Stegostoma tigrinum: one gene and its partners. The protein of the gene in region 1 purifies or fractionates together with the protein of each later gene. This does not show direct contact. Links are inferred from orthologs where the notes say so. Each region holds a gene or a part of one and is shown in the gene's direction. Other genes may lie near its edges.

Region 1 (7,002 bases):
AAACCAGAGTACCTGGGCGAAACCCACACAGACATGGAGAGAACATGCAAACTCCACGCAGACTGTCACCTGAGGGTGGAATTGAACCCAAGTCCCTGGCGCTGTGAGGCAGCAGTACTAACCACTGAGCCACCGTGCCACTCCTTAGTTCCTAGTCAATTTTAAGCCCCAGATGCTGAAATTCAGGAATTGTACGATTGAGAAATCATTGTATGTCAAGGGCAATGATCAGATTCTCATATTGGAGATATTCATTGCTTGGCACTTACTTGTCACTTGTCAGGCCAAACCTGAATTTTGTCCTGAACTTGTTACATTTGGACACAGATTGCTTCAGTATCTGAAGATTTACAATTTATTTAGAACATTGTGCAATCATCAGTGAACATCCCTACTTCTGACCTTATGACAGGATATTACTGAAGCAGCTGAAGATGGTTAGACCTAGGACACTACCCTGAGGAATTCCTGTACAACCATCCTGGAGCTGAGGTGTCTGACCTCCACCAACCATAACCAGGTTTGTGTCAGGTGTAACCCCAACCAAAAGAGAGTTCTCCCTTAATTCCCATTGACTCCAAGCCTGCTAGCGTTCCTTAATGCCATATTCAGTCAAATACAATTTTGATGTCAAGCACAGTCATTTTCACGTCCCCTTGGGAGCTCAGCATTGAAGCAAAGATATAACATAGTGAGGAATTGAGATACCCTGGCAGAAACCAGGGTGAGCAGGTTATCGCTAAGCAAACATTGCTCAGTAGCACTGTTGATGACACTTGTCATAAATTCACTGATGATTGAGATTAAACTAATAGGGTCAGGTTGGAAGTTCTCACATTGTTGGATAGATGCTTGTGTTATAGCTGTACTAGAACAGCTTGAAGGGAGTGGCAAATCTGGAGTGTACTTCTTCAGTACTATTGTCGCTAGTGATCTTGGGAGGAGGCCAGACGGATCATCTACTTGGCACTCTTGGCTGAAGATTGTTGCAAATGCTTTCGTCCTTTTGCACTAATGTATTATCATTGTTGAGAATGGGGATATTTGTAGATCCTCATCCTGCCAATCACTTTTTAAATTGCACACTACCAGCCATGACCGGATGTGGCAGGTCTGAAGAGCTTTGTTTTTGGAATCACTTAGCTCTGTATATCACTTGCTGCTTACACTGTTTTATCTTGTAGTGGTATTGTTTCGTAGCTTCACCAGGTTAACACCTGATGTGCAAGTAGGCCTGGTTCTGCTCCAGCCTTCTTCATTGAACCAGACTTGATGATAGTGTTGCAGGGATTTGCCCAGGCCATGAGGTTGCCATTGGTGGGTGTACAATTCTGCCGCTGCTGTCAGTCCGCAGTGCATCATGCATGTCTAATCTTGATTTGGGAGATATGTTCAAAGTCTATTTCATTCAGCATGGCGTCAATGATCAATACGAAGGCAGGACTTTGTCTCCATAAGGATTGTGCTGTGGTCAGTCTTATTAATGTTGTCATGACAGATCGCATCTACCGCAGGAAGATCAATGGGAATGAGGTCAAGTACATTTTTCACTCTTGTCGGTTCCATCACTACTTGCCACAGATCTGGTATAGCAGCTATGTTCTTTAGGACTTGACCAACTCAGTCAGTAGTGATGCTTCCATTGGCAATGGACTCTGAAATTGCCTAATCAAAGGACATTCTGTGCCCTTGCCACCTTTAGTTTTTTTTCCAAGTGGTGTTCAGCATAGTACACTGAGTCATCGTCTGAGGTGGGGATCAGTTTGTAGTAATCAGCAGAAGCTTTCCTTGCCCATGTCTGACCTGACATATGAGATTCACAAGGTCTGCTTTCAATGTTGAAAACTCCTGCAGAAACTACCTCCTGACTGTATACCACTGTGTCTCAACATCTGCTGCATTTGTCCTGGTGATGGGACAGGGATAATGATGGTGTTGTCAAGAATGATACATGTAAGGTATGATTCTTTGAGTATGAGCATGTCAGGCTGATAGCTCTCCTAATCTTGGCACTAGCCCTTACATGTTGGTGAGAAGGACTTTGCAGGATCAACAGGCCATTATCATTTCTGGGTGTCTTGGTTGATGCCGGATGGTCTGTCTAGTTTTATTCTCTTTTTTTAAAGTTAGAGACAACAGAGTCCATTGCTAGTGGTACTTAAGAGGAAACCACATTTCTGTGGCTCTGTAGGCCAGATCACGTTTTCTCTTTCTGAATGATGTTTGTGAACTAGATAAGTTTTGATGACAATAGTTTTTTGGCCATCACTCAGATATTTATTGCATTCAAATTCCACCATTTGCCATGGTGGAATTTGAATCCAGGTCCTTAGTACAATACCTGGGTTTCTGGATTACCAATCTCAGTGACAATACCATCACCTCCTTTCTGACATTTTGAAAACTGAGGAAATGTTTACCTCATTCACTATTTTGATAAATGCTTCATAAAGTGAACTGAAATGTGGGACAGGACCCTTTTCTGGCCATGTTGGGTCTTCCTGATATATCCTACTTTAAGTAGCTAAATAGTACATATCTAATCATCCCTCTTTATTACTGACAACAAACTACTAGGCCTAAAGGTATCCTATTCTGTCTTATCTCCCTCATTAAAAAAGGAATATTAGTCTTCTTCCAGTCTATGGGGGAGGTGGGGGGGTGGTTGGTTTAGCTTGGGGAGGGTTGCAAGAAGGGTGTTAGGAGACCCTTATCCTGTTTCCTTGAGACCCACTGGATGGATATCCTTTCAATGATCTACTGTTTTATGTCAAGGTTCTTAATTCTAAAATAATATTGTTTTTAATATTAACAATGTTAATTAGTGACATTGTTGAATTCTACTGGTTAAGCATCATCCTCAAAAGTGAAAATTGATACAAGGTACTCATTTAATATTTTTGACATACCAAAATCCATCCATATTCTTTCCCTGTAGTTATTTCAATGATCTTCAAAAGTGAAAATTGACACAAGTTACTCATTTAATATTTTCGACATACCAAAATCCATCCGTATTCTTTCCCTGTAGTTATTTCAATGATTGAATATGGGTGATTGAAATCCTGATATAACACTTTTTTCCCATTACTATCACAATTGTTCAAAATCTTCTTTTCCATTAAACTTTTTAGCTGCTTTTGGAATTGGAAATTTGGAATTGTGTTTGTATTACTTTAATTTGTTTATGTGAATTTCCATTTAAAATGGTGGTGCTGTCTTACACAGCTGAAGCTTGGTCCATGCCTGTGGAGTTGCATTATTTTGCTTGCACTATGTTCTAAGTAGCTAAACATGGAAGCAATTTATCTCTTCGCTGAAAGAAAATTCATGTAAACAGTGGTATTGTTGAGTAGGACGTATACGATGTGAAGAAATGCAACCAAAACAATGGCTGAAAACAACCATTTTATTTGCAAAGGACTGTAACGATAAATGGCAAACAGATCAATAAAAATGATATGCTGGGAATCTACTGGTGAAAGATCGAGTGCTGGAGTTTAGCGAGGAATCATGCCTGAACTGTAGATAAGCAGTTAAAATCGTTTGTCAACAATTTCCGAGAACGTGTTGTCCAGCACTAGCAGCCAGAGAGCCAAGAGTCATGGAGTCAGCAGTATTCCGGTAAACATCTTCCGGAATATTAATTAAGACATTCTTTGCAACGGCCTCTTTGCAAAACATCCACGCAACTATTAAAATAACCGCACGTTTCAACGATCTTCCCATGTGTGGTGATGAAAGATTGATTTGTTTTAAAAAGGCTCGACAGATGTTTACTTTATTCACTCCCCAAAAGACAAACTGTTATTTGGTCCCTTTCTCCTGAAGGCCTGGTTTCCCAGTGTCCCATGGGGCGCTGGCCCAATTGGCCATTGATTATTACTTTTCTTGCAGCGTCGAGTTTCCTTCGAGTTGACACCTGCCTTGTTGATCTGATGGGAGTTCATTCCCATTTTGTTTTTCTTCAGACAGGAAACCGGGTGCTGCGAGAAAAACGAGCAGTGGTTTTTGTTTTGACCTCTTTCCACTCCCTGACCCCCCCCCCAACACACAAACCATCCAAAATATTTCTTTTCCAGTGAGTGAATAGTCAGAATCCTGCTCTCTCTCACCTGGTCAGGAAGCCGACACCATTTCCACGCTTTCCTGAAGCCCCAGCTGCCACTTATGTATGTTTAAAAAGAAACAGCGACAACAGAGAGAGGCGGCTGTGAGAGGAAGGCGCCTCCACTGGCGGAGGGAAAGGAGGAAGGCGGTTGTCGTTGGGGGGGTGGGGGGAGAAAAACAGGAGACGGTTGGTGATGGTGGTGGAAGAACAAACACGCACTTGGCGGGGACAAAGGACTGCGCCCGCTCGCGTTTCTGACAGGAAGCCGACCATCGGGCTGTACCCAGCCGATACCAGCAAAACCCCCACTTTCCCCCCGTCACACACCAACCCGGTTGCCGCGGGCAGGGCTCAGCAACGGCCGGCGTCCCACCGCCCCCTTTCTTTTAACCTCCCCTCCCCCCAACCTCCCGCCTTCACCATCTCCGGGCACAATAGCGAGCAAAATGGCGGCCGTGCCTGGATGGATGGAGGACGAGCGCTGACAATAAAAACCCGGCCCGCCGCTCCTCCGCGCACTCCCTTGTGCCAAAATAAAAGGTACGTGCGTGTGTGTTTTTTTTCCTCCTTCCCGTCGCAATAAGCTCACCGACAGTAGAGAGAGAGCGGTGGATGGGGGTGGGGGAGGACGACGATCGGTTGGGAGTTTTGCTTTTTTTTGCTTGCCATCCATTCCACCACCAATCCCCCCTCCCCCCTCCTTTCTCTCTCCCTCTCTCTCTTCCCCCCCACCTCCTTGGTTGTTGGGTTGTAGTTTGGACCCAGCGATTCGACAGCGTGACAGACAATTCAGGCGGGACGGGGCACACACTACTTGCATGTCTTCCTTTGCCACGCAACATGGCATCTCGGACCAATTCTTCCACCCCGTCCCCTCCCCCAATCTTGGGTTTTATCATGCTAGTTCCCACTACTCCAACAACAAAAGTTGGGTTACCCCTTTTTCAATGTCAATTTTTGAGCTTTGTGCAGTTCTTTAATTTGAATAGGTTCTGCTCTGCACTGCGACTCATCCACACGCATAAACTGAACACTGGCATTGATTGTGGGCAAAATGGGGGAAAGCATGTCAGGAGTGTGTTGTAGGAATTGAAAGGAACTGTGCTGTGCTTCAAAGTCTATGACTCCAAACTGGATTGTCTGCCTTTAAACTTGCTCTTATTTGTTTTGTATGGTGTTTGGTGGCGTTTGTTACCAAATCCAAGGTCAATGATGTACAATACCACTAATCTTTGGATTCTATGTAAGGCAACTGAAGTTTTTTTTTCCAAATGCCATCATAGAATAATGGCTGTACAATGGATCCCAAGTAACTTAAATCTAGAGGAACTTTAACATAGTGTCATGAATTTATGTTTTTGAATTCTTGCATAAAATTTCTAAATAGCTGTAAATTTTGAAATTTTGCCCCCTCCTTTTTGATATACTTTAATCAGTTGCAGTTTATGATAAGCCCTTCAAGGGACACTAAAATTTTTTCCAACTATTTCATAACTAATGGTTATGTGGAGTTGGGTGCAGGACAAGTGCATTAGATCCAGAAATACAAGAGTCTGATGCTGTCTAATCTTGGTTTTTGTTTTTTTTTGTGTACTGAGGCTGATTTTCCTGAATTTAACTTAATAGTGCAAGATTCTTGTAGGACCTTTAACTTGCTTTCTGTGGCATGTTGTCACAATAATATTCAGTGTGCTTTAAATATTTGTAAGCTATCTTTGGCCAAGGAGTCTACAAATACTCTTTTGAAAGCCTCCATAATAATTGGTTTCCAGTATGAGCATTTGGCCTGCATTCATTTTGCATGTAATTTTGTAGTTATTTTAATGTCTAGTTTAAAAGACGTATAATCTTGTCCATTAAACATTTCAAGCTGGATTATTTTCTCACACACTGTAACCCAGCTGGGTGTGAATAACACAGAATTGTCACCACCATTTAATTAAACTTAGCTGATTTGCTCTATAAATAGAGTAATAAAGTTTTTGTTTGTCCTTTTGAGTCATCTGAGGTGTTTAATAGGGTTCGGGCAGGTAACTACTGAGGTGATCTAGACCTGGAAAGTTCTGTTGCAAAAGGATACAGCAGATAATTGATGACGACAAAGTGTGGAGCTGGATGAACACAGCAGGCCAAGCAGCATCTTAGGAGCACAAAAGCTGACGTTTCGGGCCTAGACCCTTCATCAGAAGTTGTGCTCCTAAGATGCTGCTTGGCCTGCTGTGTTCATCCAGCTCTACACCCTGTTATCTCGGAGCTTTGGACAAGTTGGTTTTGGAATCCTGTCCAACATCTACCTGAAGCAGAGGGAAAATTCCTATTTTCAAAGGAAGCCACAATGTTTATTTTTGGTTTGTTGTTCCATGTACATGGATTCTGAATGAGTTTCTCCCAGGAGTCTTAAATTGTTGACATGAAAACTCTTAAGTGGAATTTTTAGATTAGCCAAATGAAGCACTACAAGGACAATGTGAAAGCACAGAGCTGGCTGAAGCTCTCCATAGAAGCTTTGCATTGGTAAGCAAACAAAGTTTTATAAAAGTAAGTATAAGTAAATGTGGTATAAGGACTTGGAAGTTGTACATATCCAAATTGTATTGGTTTATACCTGATGGAATGATCTGTAAACACTTTTAAAATTTGTCAAGCTTTGTGATGAACAACTGTTAATGTTCAGCATAGACCTATTCTATCTAGTTTTTTCTAATTAAAAGTTGGGAAGAATCTGAAGTTGGATCTATGATTACAACTTGGCTGATTTAATACAAAATATGTCATATTGCTTTGTATTGGATCTGCTTAAAAGTATTCATGATGGAAAAGTGCATGTCTGTGCCTCCTCAAATACTAAGTTCTTACTTTAATGCACATTGGCTTGATTTCACGTTATAATA
Region 2 (7,222 bases), on another chromosome or scaffold:
AAGCAGCATCTTACGAGCAACTCTAAGGAACAGAAAAGGTGCAATTCCACTGCTCAGTGTAGCCCATCGGCAACTAGCCAGTGGGAAGACTGCAGGAGGAATGGGAATTTGCAAGGAATTTACAAAGCTAAGCAAGAATCATAGAGTTGTCACAATGTGGGGATTTCAGATCTATAGAATATGGCTGTGTAAAGGGCAGAACAGGGCAAATGTTAAAGGTATAAAGGACTTCACCTCAAGGTGGTGCCAGAGGACCGCAGCACTGCAAATGTTAGATTCTTGTTCAAAACAAGAGTGTGAAGATTACACCAGCCAGTTTAACTTTGGCGCTGACGAAGCTTCTGGGGAAAAAAGAATTCAGGACAACATTAATAGCCACTTGGGCAAATGCAAATATAATTAAGGAATGCCAGCACAGATTGGAAGTACATGGAATAGTGTAGGTTAGATGAGCTTCAGATCGGTATGACAGGTCGGCACAACATCGAGGGCCAAAGGGCCTGAACTGTGCTGTAATGTTCTATGTTCTATTTGTTAAGGGAATATGCTGTTTTACTAACTTCCTGGAGTTGTTTGATGAGGTAGCAGCAAGGATTGATGAAGGTAATGCTATATGTATGGTGTACATGGACATACAATAGTTTGGCATAGTGCCACACAACAGGCTTGTGAACAAAGTCATGGTTGATGGAATAAATAAAGATGCTGTTATCATGGATTTCAAATTGTCTGAGTGACAAGTTACAAAAAGTACTGGTTAATGAATGCTTTTGGGTTGGAAGAAGTGGAGCTGCCCGGGTTCAGTGCTGGTAGCCTTGCTCTTGAAGATATATATTAGCTACCTAGCCTTTGATGCACAGGGTACAAGAACAAAATTTGCATGTCACACAAAACTTGGAAGCATTTTGAACTGTGAGGAGGATACTGTAGAAATTTAAAAGAATGCAAACAAATTGGTGGTATGGACAGACAAGTGGCAGATTAATTTCAGTGCGGACATCCCTGAGGTAATTGAGTTTGGTAGGAAGCACACAGATAGACAGTATAAAGTAAAGAGCATTTGGGAGCAGAGAAAATTTGATGTATATGCGAATAAGACATTGGAACTGGCAAGAGCGCAGTTGAGAAAGCATACAGTATCCTAGGCCTTATTAATTGGAACATGGACTTAAGATTAGGTTGTGTTAGACTTGAAAAAGATAGTGTTTCAGCTGCCACTAGAGTACTGAGTCTAGCTCTTGGAAATACAAGAAGACATTGAAGTGCAGAAAAGATTCAAGAGAATGGGTCCAAGTATGAGGAACCTCAGTTACGTAGATCGACTGGAGAAGGTGCAACTGCTTTTCTTGCAGAAGAGAGAGGAGATTTGATGGCAGTATTCAAATCTTGAGAAATTTGGGCAACATAGAAAAAAGATTATTCCCATTGCTGATTGAGAGCATGAAGGTCCAGAATGAAAGAAATTGAAAAAATAAACAACAGAGATACATATTTTCATTCAGAAGTGGTGTAGGTCACATGAATGTGCTGCCTGAGAATGCATGGGGGCACTTTCAATCAAGGCATTCAACAGAGAGTTGGGTTGAAAAAGGAAGTGAGTGCAGGGGTATGACAAGTGGCTCTAAATGCATGTGTTAAGACTATAGAAATAGGAACAGGAATAGGCATTTGGTCCAACGAGCCTGCTCCAATATTCAATAGGATCATGGCTGATCTGACATTCCTCATGTCAGCTTTTCTGTGTTTTTCCTGTAACCATTGATTACCCGTACTGATCAAGAATCTATCTAAGCCATAAATACATATAAAGACTCTACTCCGTAGCTGTCTGTAGCAAGGAGTTATAAAGACAATTCTTCATAGTTTTAAACTGATGCTGTTTTGTTCTGAGACTATGTCTGCTATGCTAGGCTCTCCCGTGATGGGAAACATCCTCTGAGCATTTATCCTGTCAGTGTCCCTTCATCATCTTATATGTTCCAATGAGATCCCCTCTCATTTTAAACTCCTGTGAGTAGGGTCTCAACCTGTTAAGCCTGTGCTCGGACGACAATGCCTCCATATCAGAGATCATCTTTCTAAACTGTCTCTGTGTCCTCTCTGCCTAAACTGAAATAATACCTATGCTTAAATAAGGGAACAAAATATTCTCAGTATATTAGATGCGTTCTCACCAGTACCTTGTTACAGTTATAATAAGATGTCTCTACTCTTATACTCCAAAACCCATGAAATAAATCCCATCCCTGCTTCCACAACACACAAAAACTGAATAAAAACCAGAAGAACTGCAGATACATCAGGAACAAAAACAAAAGTTGCTGGAAGCTCAGCAGGTCTGGCAGCATCTGTGAAGAAAAAAATCAGAGTTATTGTTTTGGGTCCAGTGACCCTTCCTCAGATGTGTCTTCTGTTTTTGTTGCTGACACAAAAATCTGAAATAGCTAGAAAAGCTCAGCAAGTCTGGCAGCTTCTGCTCTTGACAATTCTGAAGGGTCACTGAACCTGAAATGTTAACTCTGCTTCCTCTCCACAGATGCTATTAGCCCTGCTGAGCTTTTCCTATATTTCTTTTTTTTTCTGATTTCCAGCATCTGCAGTTTTCCAACATTCCATCAGCCTTCCTGATTACCTGCTGCACCGTGTGCCAGCTTTCTGTTTTTCATTTGGACGGTTGTTTTGTGCACGCACACAACAGGTCAAAATGGGCAACTTCTGTAGATGGTAACCATTCTGTGATATAACCAAGTCATGGACTGAGTACAACAAATGCTGGAGGTCTGTAAATGGCCTAGTCTGAAGATGAGATGTTGTTCCCCCTGGTTTGTGCTGTGATTCACTGGAGCACCGCAGCATGCCAAAGACAGACAACTGGGCATGCAAGCAGTCTGTTGTGTTAAAATGACTGGCCACGTACAGACTGGAGTCGATCTGCAAAGCTGTGACCCAGTTTATGTTTACATTGGAGAAACCAAACGCAGACTGAGTGACTGCTTTGCAGAACACCTCCAGTCTCATTATCAGACTAGCCTTATGGACTTAATATTAAGTTCAGCACCTTCAAATTGTGAACAAACTGCTACTCCTAACCTTTCCTTTAGCTTTACTTGTTACATTCTCTGTCACCATGTGCTGTCTCCTCTCTCACCACCTCAGAGGGACAGAGACAACAAGATGTAGAGTTGGATGAACACAGGCCAAGCAGCATCAGAGGAACAGGAAGTCTGACATTTACAGCCTAAACCCTTCTTCAGAAAAACCTTGCCTGCTCTTCTAAATCTGGCAGTTGGACACATCATCGTTCTACAGTTCTCGCATTCTGGTCTCTTAATCTGAACTATCAACGTCTTTTCTCTCTCACGACTCTGCACCTACCTTCGCAACAATAGCATAAATGCTGTCCCTTCCACACTTCACTAGATCTGATGAAGAGCTATCTCGACTTGAAACATTAGTTTGCTCTCTCTCTCTCTCCATGGATGCTGCTTGACCCGCTGCGATCTCCAACATTTGTTGTTGTTGTCAGTACAGATTCCAGCATCAAGAGCAACTCACTCCTACGGGAACTGCAGATGCTGGAGAATCCAAGATAACAAAGTGTGAAGCTGGATGAACACGGCAGGCCAAGCAGCATCTAGGAGCACAAAAGCGGACGTTTCGAGCCTAGACCCTTCACCACAGAAGGCGAGCCCGAAACGTCCGCTTTTGTGCTCCTAGATGCTGCTTCGCCTGCCGTGTTCATCCAGCTTCACACTTTATTACCGACGTGGACTGAGCTCTTTCCACTCCCTCTTGAAAGCAGCACTGGCCCTTTAAATGATGGCAACGCCCCTTCATCCGGCTAGGCCACGCCCCGCGCAGGTTAGGTCCCGCCCCCCTCCACTGCGCAATGACGTCACGGGCCGGGAGCCATGGCTTCCCTGGATGCTGAGGTGAGACAGCCGCTGAGGGAAGGGAATTCCTCTTTCCGATTAAAAAATTGTTATGACTCTTCACTTACATCGGGGGCGCTTAGACTTCTCTTCACCCACCCCGCTCAAATCCCATCCTGGCTTACATCTAAAACCGAGGCTTTTTCGTTTTCCCCTCCCTCGCTCATTGCTGCTCCGTCGGCTCCGAGTCCACGGCGGCCATGGGTCTCGGGCGCTTTGTGAGGCGGAGAGGGGGAAGGAACCAAGTGATTGACAGCCGGGCCCAGGGAACCTGAACAACGCATCGACTCCCCTTGCGTTGGACTGATTGGATGCGTTATGCGCGATTCCGGGCGGAGGTTAGCGGGCGACTGTTCTCTTCACCCTGTATCCTGTGTAGCGCATTGGCTCCCTATTGTTGGCTCGTGGCGGAACGTATTACACAGGGTTAGGGTTGGGCTACGATGATTGACTGTAGAACCCTTTATCCTGTGTGATGTATCCATTCCATTCTCTTGGAGTGTTTGGACATGCGCTATACGAGGTTTGGGGTGGAGAAATATTTGGAACCCTGTAATCTGTGTGATGTAGTGACCTCCCTTTGTTGGTGGCGTAGGAGATATGCGTTATGCAGGCTTCGGCTTGGCCTCGATGTACTGTGTAATTGACTGCCGATCCCCATATCTTGCAGAGTGTATAAACTGCCTCTGATAACGTTGCGGGTTGTCCGTTATCCTAGGTCTGGGGTACGAATCTGGCCGACTGTACAGTTAAGGCATGCTGCCTTGTTGCTGTGCAATTTTTTTTTCTCGGCAGTGTATTTTGATTAACTTGCAAGCCTGCGATTCTGTCCAGTTATTTTCTCTTTAGCTCAATAAAACTCTCTCTTTTATGTCGTTAACAGCACATTCTCGTTTTTTGTTAGCGATTTTAAAATGCTTGAAAACTTACCACATTGACTCGTTCGACTGTACTGCGCACCTCCTTCTGATTCTCTTTACCAATCTTGATGATCGTTTAGGTGAAATGCTGCAATATAAACCGCCTGTCAAAGACATATTAGGTTAAATGCAAGACTGTCCGAGGTAGTTAGCTTGTTAAGTGGACACATGGCCTATTTCTGAGTGGCGGGAGGGAAGTCGGTCAGATTTACCGCTGTTGAGCAGCGAAGGTGTAAGATTTGGTGTCAGAGGAGGACTGAACAGAAGGGTATCTCGGCTATAATGCATTCCCATGTCAAACAGACTGCTTTTATTACTCAAGGCATCGAATACAAGAGCGAAGAGGGTATGATGGAACTATTTATAATGTTAGTTAGACTACAGCTTTTTTCAGTTCTGTTTTGCCACGCCAAAGGAAGTATGTTACTGCATCTAGAGAGGGTGCAGAATGTTGTTTGGGCTGATGTGATTCCACTATGAAGAGATAAGCTGATGTTTTCTTAAAGCAGAGAAAGCTGAAATTGAATTTGATTTGATTTACACAAAGTTGCAGGAGGCAAGATAGATAGGGAGAAAATGCTTCCCCTCTGAAGGATCAAAAGCCAAGGGGCAAAGTTTTAAAGTAGAAGCAGAACGTTTAAACGTCATTTAAGGAAAGCCTTCTTTACTCACAGGATTGTGGATGTCTGGAACACACTGCTTAAAACAATGCTAGAAGCGAGATGTGTTAAGACTTTTGAGAAGTACTTAGATGAAGATAAATATTTTAACACACCATAATGTACAAGGCTGCAGGCAAGATGCTTGAAAATGGGATTAGAGTAGATGGATGTTTGACTGGCACCATAGGCTGAAGACCTTTTTCCCATGCTGTAAAACTTTACAATTCTATATCCAGCCAGACGTTGTTGGTTAAGCGAAGCCAAATCTCCCAGTAGCCCTACAATGTTGACTGAATCAAAACTGCTCATCATTTCAAAGACTTCTGTTAGGTCATCCTACAGCATTTCCTTTCCTGATATGTATACCCACACATTTCTGTTTCTATCTTTAGTAATCTTCTCTGTCACTTCTCCAGTGCCTGATATATTTTTTTCATTATATGGTACCAGAACTCCATACAATACTCTTAAATGTGGTGTAATCAGGTTCAATACTTGTTTAGCATAACTTATCTTTTTAGTTCAAAACTAGGGTCCACACATATAAGACAGTTAGTAATACATCCAGGAGTCACGCGACACCAGGTTGTGGTCCAACAGGTTTATTTAAAATCCCAAGCTTTCAGAGTACAGCTCCTTCATCAAGAAACTGTTGGACTGTAACCTGAAGTTGTGTGACTTCTAATTTTGTCCACCCCAGCCTAATGACTAATAAATTCAGTCGTGAATTCAGGAAGAACTTTTTTTGCCCAGAATGTGGAACTTTGTACCCAGACAGCAATTGACACAATTGACATAGTTTTTTCTTAAAAGGGAACTGGATGACCATAAGAAGAAGAAAGAAAAAGAAGGGTGCAGTGATAAGGTGGGATGAAGAGGGTTGTGTGGAGCTTTAGCTAGATGGACTGATCTGCCCGTTTCTTTACAATCCCAGAATTGAGTAATCAATTGAAGGCAACACTTTTTATTTGTCAGAGAAAAGAGTGGTCCAGCAGCTGCTGTTCCTTGGCTTGTGTTGTAAACTTTTCAGTGTCTAGTGGTGTAGGATAGGTTTTTTTGCTCAAAACAGAGAAGACACTGTTTCTCTTTGGTGTGTTGGGTCACTTCCCTATCTGTACTGTTCCCCTCCTTGTGCCTCCAGCTCAGCCCCCTGTGACACTATTCCAACAGAAAGCAGGGATATATGGAATGCAAAAGGAGGGAGTGATTTTGAAATAAAAAGCAGAGCCTGAGAGAAAGAGGTTTAGCATTCTTCTGGAGTGCAATCTCCTCAACCTCATGAGACCCTTCCTGTCTTGCTGTGAGGAGTTGGGGTGGGTGGATTTGTTGGAGATGTTGAGGTAGGATCATCAAATTGATACATTTCCCCTGGAACATTGTGAGTTATTTTGCTTTCCTTTCACAGGTGGTGGCTAACAGCCCAGTTGAAGCTACAGCAGAACCAGAACTCCTGGTGCTTGACACGAGCCCTAGCTGTGAACTAGTCCAAGGTAAGATTACAGATTCAAGACAGCAGTTGTTCTGTCAGCAAAGGACACAGCAACACAGAGTAGAGTGTAGAGAGAGAGAAGACATGGCGATCTGGTTCTGGAAGTCTCCATGGGGCTAGGGTCGCTGACCATTACAGTGGTAGGGAGAGACTCCATCCTGTGTGGTGTCTTGGGATCTTTTGTCACTTTCCTAGTTGGGTCAAAAGACAGAGTTGTAG
Region 3 (7,441 bases), on another chromosome or scaffold:
TGGCTCAATAAAATCATTCAATAATACATTTATTTTAAATTTAATATTTGTAAATTTGTGACAGCACTGATGTAATACTATGCATTTGTGTTCATAGGAAATAATATTGTTGATCAATGCACTGCAAATGTGCACAACTGTTGCAACTATGTATAGCTATTTGAGTACCAGAATTCTTATTGGTCAATTATGCTAACACTTTTGCAACAAAGCAATATTAGGTGAACATTGGGACAAAGTCTGTATTTATAATGGATTTCATGTTATACATCTCTCAGCAGATAAGATGAGGTAGTTACTAACTGGGTGTGTGTATTTCCAGTCTATACTGGCCAAAATGTAACAATTATTTAGTCAAGAAATGTCAAAGTCAGTGATTTTGGGCTCACTGTGGTAGAATTCATTTTGAAAATATATAATTAAATGGCAATTAATGAATGTAGGAAAATTAATCTATATTCTGAGGTGAAACTTTGAAATGAATTATCGCCACTTTTAAAAGTGAATTCCAGAACTGACTTATTTAAGCTCTAGACCAGGATAATCTTACATTTCATAATGGTATATATCAAGAGAAGGTGATTAAATTTAAAACCAATTTTGGAGATTTAAATAACCTTTAGCTTTCTTTCTTAGATACAACTAAAGCTACTCTGCTGAATCAAAACAATGTGCTGTGTTCCTTGTTGCAATTTAAGTTCAACACATCATTGAAGAGAAATAAAGCTCTTCTCTAAAGCTGTGATTTTAGTCTCCATACTGAGTATTGGTCACTCTTCATTCAAAAATAAGGTTAAGGTATATTGAGCAATAGAGTCACACAACAGAGAAGCACACCCTTTGGTCTAACTCGTCCATGCTGACCAGGTTTACCAAAATTAAACTAGTCCCATTTTCCTGCATTTGGCCCATATCCCTCTAAACCAAACTAAGATGGGTAGAGTGCAAAAAGAAAGCCATGAATTTGGAATATGCAAATCCAAAAATATGTGTATATCTGATGTGTGCGTGTGAGGGGTTGGGGTGAAAACTGCAATATTTAACAAAACAATTTGATAAGGTGAGGAAATCTAAGGTGGAAACATTTACAGCTATATGTTGAACTTGTGAATAACCTGAAAACATTATGAAAATCCCTTTTAATAAATCTTTTGGAATAACTTCTAATCATTCATGCACAGGTATGTCCTCAGTACAAATAGTCAATCTATATTCAGATATTGGTTGAAGGACAAGCAATAAGTAGTTTCTTAACTTGGGATCAGTTCACATAATTAGTGCATCTCATCTGTGTTCTCTATAAAATATCGTAAGTTACATAAAAGTCATGACATGTTGACTAAAGTAATAACTTTAAGGTACAGTGTTAGTAAATTAATGGGTATCCATTAACTAACTGCTTTTGGGCTTTACATTTGAAACTTGGATATCCTTCTAATTTTCAAAATGACCTGTTACTGCTAATTACTGGTGTACACATTCAGTCAGTAACGAGCTCAGTGTCTCCCAGAACCAATTTAGACAAAGCATATTTTCAGCCACAGTTACAGAACACAACTTTCACTTCAACCTTTAAAAGTTCACTATCTGTTTAATTTCAGATAAAACACTGAATGCACTTTTTCTGAATTTAAATTTAAAAACTCATGCAGCTTTATTATTGTTGGATGTGCTGAACTTTCCGTGTAAGATTAGCGTGATACTTTTGTAGGAATGCAATGAGGTACAAGGTGATGCCTCGCTTTTATTATACATCCTATAATAATGAAAATAGTTGGAATGGTTATAGCACAAGAAAAGGCCATTCAGCCTGTCATGTCTGTGTCAGCTTTGGTAAGAATCAGAATCACACAGATTGGAAACAGACCCTCCGATCCAACTAGTCCACAGTGATGTTCCCAAACAAAACCAGACATGCCTGCTTGTGCTTGGCCCACATCCCTCCAAACTTTTCTTTTCATGGACTTATCTGAATGTCTTTTAAACGTGTAGCTGTACCTGCATCCGCCACTTTCTCTGGCAGTTCGTTCTATACACTAGCCACTCTCTTTTTAAAGAAAAAATTTAGAAGTTGCTCTGTGTCCTTTTTAAATAAGCCTCTAAATTTGAACACCCCCCCCCCCCCCCGCCCCACCCCATGAGGGAAAAGACCCTTGTCATTCACCTCATCTATGCCCCTCATGATTTTATAAACCTCAAAGGAGGTCACCGGTCTAACTCTACATCCCAGTGAAAGATATTCCAGCCTTTCCAGTCAATTTTTACAACTCAAACATTTCATCCCACCTGGTAACATCCTGGTAAATCTTTTCTGCACCCTCTCTAGTTAATAATATCCTTCCTTTTAACAGGACAAGCAGAACTGCACACTAGTCTAGAAGACGCCTCACCAATGTCCTATACAACATCAACATGACGTCCCAACTCCTATGAGTGGAAGTCTGAGCAATGAAGGCAAGCGTGCTAAACGCCTTCTTAACCACCCTGTCTACCTGTGATGCAAATTTCAAAGAATTATGTTACTGAAGCCCGAGGTGTCTCTGGTCCACAACACGACTGAGGTCCCTACTATTAATTGTACAAGACCTGTCCCTTATGTATTATCAAAGTGCAATATCTCACATTTATCCAAATTAAACTCCATCTGCTATTCCTCAGCCCATTGACCCAATTTGATCAAGATTTCTTTGTAATCTTAGATAACCTTCTTCACTGTCCAGTATTCCACTAATTTTGGTGTCACCTGCAAACTCACAAACTATGCCTTCTATATTCTCACCCAAATCATTTTTATATAAGTGACAAACCAAAATGGACCCAGTACTGATCCTTTGGAACACTGCTGTTCACAGGCCTCCAGTCCAAACAACTCTCTGCCGCTGCCGCCTCCTCCACCACCCCCAACCCTACCATCTCCACCCTGACACAACCTCCACGTACCCCGCTTCACCGCCCCCAACACACACACACACACACACCCCCACCCAACCACCTCCACCCTCCTATCCCATACCCCCACCTCATACCCCTCCCCACTCCCCCACCTCCACCCCCCCACCATCTCCCCACACCTCCCCCCTCACACCTTCCCCTAACACTCCCCAGACCTCCCACTCCCCACATCCCCCCCCCACCACCAGCTGCAAACATCCCCCCAAACCCCCCTCACCCACACCACCTCCCCCCACCGTTGGAAAGCTCATCTTGAATCCCACATAATCTAACTTATTTGACAAGGTTCTGCATGGTAGTCTAAGGCTATACTGAGGTTGAAGTAAACAACAGCTACCACTCTGCCCTCGTCAACCTTTTTGATTATTTCATTAAAATGTCAGTCAAATCTGCAACACAACATTTTTTTTAGGTTTGCCAGTTACCAACTGTTTGCATTTTAAATAAAAAAAATTTCCTCATGACACTGTTGGATCTTTTGCCAATCACCATAAATTTGATTACCTTTGGTTCATGACCTCTCTAGCAATGGAAAGCTTCTCTTTATTAAACTGTCTAGACTCCTGATTTTAACTTTGAAATACAAAGATTCAAAGAGATAGATCAGTTACCATAGCTGTTTCATGGAAACCTATGTTAAAAAATATGGTACACTTGTATGCCAACTTGAGACACTGACATTTACTAGCCAATCTATAATTCAAATAACATACATAATAACAAATTGCATGATCTCTAAACATTAACAATAGCCTGCAGTAGTGACAATCTCAAATTTCAAAACCAAATCTACTAAAGTGTTGGGCTGTCATGATAGCAGTTCTTTAAATCTCCCTATCTCATTGTGAAGATATTTGTGACTCTTTACACACCTGGGCGAGAGCCTTTCTCAAATATGACATCATGTGTGTAAAAGTAAGTAGATTCTGAGGTCTGAACATGGGCATATTTTCATCCCCTATGTCCATTGCAACTTTCTGGTGTGACAAAATGGAGGACATCCCACCAAGATCTCAGAAAGTAGTGCTGGAGCAGGCCTGAGGCGTAGTAATAACCCAAATGCTGAATGAAGTTGTACTCACATATGTGTGCTGAGGTCTGCGAGAGCACGGCGAGCAGATGGAGGCGCCAGATGCCCTAGTTCGCACCTGCGCACTACTGCCGCCTGGCCAGTAGAGAAAGGGCGGGTGAGGAATAGCGCCCCTAGCGGTGGCTCGAGGGAGCCTCGTTTTCACACGCCCTGCTCCAATTCTCGCGAGGCTACAGCAAAAGGGGACTTGTGCAACATGAACTATCCTTATTATTCCAGCCATCTGACCCCCTTTCACCACTCTTGGCAGAAGTGGGACAAATAGCAGGGGGGCCATGAGCCTGAAGTTTGCGTGAATTGCCCTCAAAGTAATGCTCAACTCTGCTCTCTATTGGACAATAGTCCCTATGCAAATAAAGCGTATACGTCACTTCCGTTCTTTCTCGGACGCCATTTTGGCCAGGGAAGGCTCAGTGAATTATTGTCCGAAAGCAATTGAATCTCTTTACCCCTGTTTTTCCTGTCGTCCCTTCGGGGTTTGCGCCTCGAAAAGTTTTCGATCAGAAAAAAAGTTCGTTTAGTCGGTCGAAGTTTATTTTCGTTTTATTCCCGAAGCGGTTTTGTTCGGTGGCCTTCAGTTGTCTTTTTTTCCCCTCTCCTCCTCTTTTCCCCCTCCCTCCCCTCCTCCTATCCTCTCCCCTCCCCTCTCTCTGTATAAAGAGCTCCCTCTTTCAGTCAGCGCTGGAAGCACCGCCGCGGCCGCTGCTCGCTCGCTCGGGGTTTGATGTGAGGAGATTGAAGCGGCGGCAGCAGCAGGAGGAGGAGGCCCCTTTGTTTGCGGCTCGCCTGCCCGCTCCCTCCCTCGCGCTCTTCTCTCTCTGCTGCCGGTTCGGCCGACCGACCGACCGGCTCGCGCTTAATTGATTAAACCAAAATAAGAAAAACAAAAGGAAAAGAAAAAGGTGAGAGCGTTTCGATTTTTTTTTGTCAAAGTCTGTAACCGAGCTCTTCTGTACATCAGCATTTTTTGGATTATGCTTTTTGTATTTTGCCAGAAAAAGAGGGGAAACCCCCCTGCAGCAAATGTGTGTTACATGCGAGTATTCTCCTTTTATCTTTGTCCATGTATCAAGTGCTGATTGCTAGAGATGCATAGGTACAGAGGTCTATCTGCAACGATTGCTTTATCCTATTTGTTGCCTATTTGCATGATTTAAAAATACACCAAAGACAGGATTTTCTTTGCTGAATTTGACAAATCCGCAATTCAAGCGATACTGGTTACACTATCCCATCGCTTATAATTGTTGTCGATCATTTGTGTCCATTGTTCTTCAAAACTAGGTGCGGGTTCGGATATTAGTATAATTTACTATGTATCGATTTGATGCATATGTGATGGGTCAAGTCACCCAATCGATAGGAGTGTTACCTTTCCCAATCGCGAAATACAGTATTTACCTGTGTCTGGAGCTGAATGGATCGAGGCATTTTGTTTTTTTTGTTTGCAGAACGTTTTTTTATGTTTAGCGGATTGTTTGATCCGCTGGTAAATTAGTTCAAATAATTTCAAGCCCCTTCGAAATCGTCGCGGTTTCGGATGCATAAAATATAAAATAGCAATTGTCGCCGGCTATCCTGTGTGCCATCGGTCGTGAATCTGATCGAACATTTGTTTACACATTTGCTCAATACCTTTTCTAGTGCTCTATGGTCTTTAGACAGCATGCTCAACCAATCCAGACAGCAAGAAACGCCCTAGACAGAAGACGGGGTGGATGGAAACTGAGATTTAATTTATTTGTTAATTCACATAGTGATTCCATTCGATGATGCTTCCGGATATTTTATGATGCAAATAATATTGGGGATGGGATAAGTTAAAATGATATTTTTAAAATGTGCACCTCTGGACCGGTTGCCGGCTGTGACGTTGCTGTAAAATGGCGCGAGTACTGCTCTACTGCAGACATGAATAGATTTAGGGATTCCCAGTTTTGTAATTGCTTAAGTAGAAATGTTTGGCACGTGCTCTTTGGAGAAATTTTGACCGGTCCCGCTGTTATCAGGGCTTGTGTTGCAAATTACGACCCCGAAATGCAAGAAAATGCATTTTGAACTGTTTTGCATCAAATAAAATTGTTTAATAATCTTTCTACTTATTGTGTCTAAAAACGTGTTTTTTAGAATAAAACTAAGTTAATGATTCTTGATTTCTCACCCTTCAGCTAATGGCAAATCATTTTCCACTTCTTCCGTGCACAGCCGCCCCCACCCATGTTGTAGTGCAGCCATGCAGAGAATGAAAATCAATACTCGGTGCAGCAGGAGGCGCTCTTCAGAGGCTAGTTTTGAGGCTTCAGTTGCAGGATGAGGAGTTGTTAGTGTAAAGAAATGCTCAATCAGAAAAATGCTAACGCTCCCAGTACAGCGCCACCTGTAGCTTAGACTCCGAATGTGGTGCTTGAAGACTTTTGGGTCACATGCAAAACAGTAGCTGGCATAATAACCATGCAATGTAGTTGAATTATTTCACCAAATGCATGTCTCATTGGTATACCCCATACTACTGAAACCCAGCTTCTTCGTAACTAAATGCATTTAGTGACAACTGGTGGAAAGAAAGAATGTGAAAAATGGTGGTAAGTACAACGTTGGTTAGTGTTTGGAAGTTGACTGCACTTGGAGTGCGCTGTCTTTTTAGCTAAAGGAATTGGTCCTGTTGCTTCATCCTATCATCCAAGTAAAGCATCTATGACTTGTTAGATGGTTTTGGTTGGATATTTCAGAAGATGATTGAGCATAATTGGCTTAGTTGGGTATGGCGATTACTGTTTAGCAATAAATGGCTATATAGTGATCACCCATTTTTGTCCATCATGTGCCTTTTCAGAAGGTTATCTTTCCAATGGTGCAAGTTGCTATTCAGATTAAACAGACTCTGAAGTTTTTTTTTGGCTGGCATCCTGTATCATTCCCAATCAGCATGAAATACTTTACTTGAATTTTCTTTAAAATGGGACCTGGTACCTTAATAGCTGTTTTGCTTAGGCAAATCTAAACTGTGTAATCTTCTGGTTTATTTTCCTCTAGTTATAAACACTGTTTGAGTCACACCGCAAGATTTGATGGCCAAGGAAGGTGTGCTCACAGAGTAGCCAGAGGTTGGTTTAATTGTGGAGCCAGAAGTCTCTTCAACATATCTCAACAGTGGGCAGTGAGAAAAACAAAGATTTCTAGTCAGCCATGTGAGAAAAGTAAGTGGGATCTCTATCACTATGTGAAGACCCATATTACTTCATGGTTGTAAAAGTGCATGTTGCACAGAAATTCACCTCCTAAGTGACCTGAATATAATAGATCCTTAAGCATAACAAAACTCCAATGTCTTTAATTTATTGTTTATACTATTTTAGTTTTGTCCTGCCATGGATGTAAATTTCAGTGACATAAAATTAT

Evidence for each region.
Region 2: the proteins of zinc finger protein 644-like (region 1) and ehmt2 purify together in Homo sapiens (affinity purification with mass spectrometry; 3 studies listed by BioGRID and IntAct, with this or other methods). This does not show direct contact. The link is inferred for Stegostoma tigrinum from reciprocal best matches to the Homo sapiens genes ZNF644 and EHMT2.
Region 3: the proteins of zinc finger protein 644-like (region 1) and adnpb purify together in Homo sapiens (affinity purification with mass spectrometry; 3 studies listed by BioGRID and IntAct, with this or other methods). This does not show direct contact. The link is inferred for Stegostoma tigrinum from reciprocal best matches to the Homo sapiens genes ZNF644 and ADNP.

Annotation. Positions count from the first base shown.
Region 1 is NC_081361.1:87,622,593-87,629,594, forward strand, and holds the start of zinc finger protein 644-like, read left to right. Parts: upstream 1-3,992; 5' UTR 3,993-4,304; coding exon 4,305-4,651; intron 4,652-4,700; exon of another isoform or gene 4,701-4,794; intron 4,795-4,843; exon of another isoform or gene 4,844-4,982; intron 4,983-7,002.
Region 2 is NC_081387.1:20,687,677-20,694,898, reverse strand, and holds the start of ehmt2 (histone-lysine N-methyltransferase EHMT2), read left to right. Parts: upstream 1-4,213; 5' UTR 4,214-4,243; coding exon 4,244-4,270; intron 4,271-6,919; coding exon 6,920-7,004; intron 7,005-7,222. UniProt on the Homo sapiens protein: Histone methyltransferase that specifically mono- and dimethylates 'Lys-9' of histone H3 (H3K9me1 and H3K9me2, respectively) in euchromatin.
Region 3 is NC_081372.1:40,818,539-40,825,979, reverse strand, and holds the start of adnpb (activity-dependent neuroprotector homeobox b), read left to right. Parts: upstream 1-4,432; 5' UTR 4,433-4,944; intron 4,945-7,441.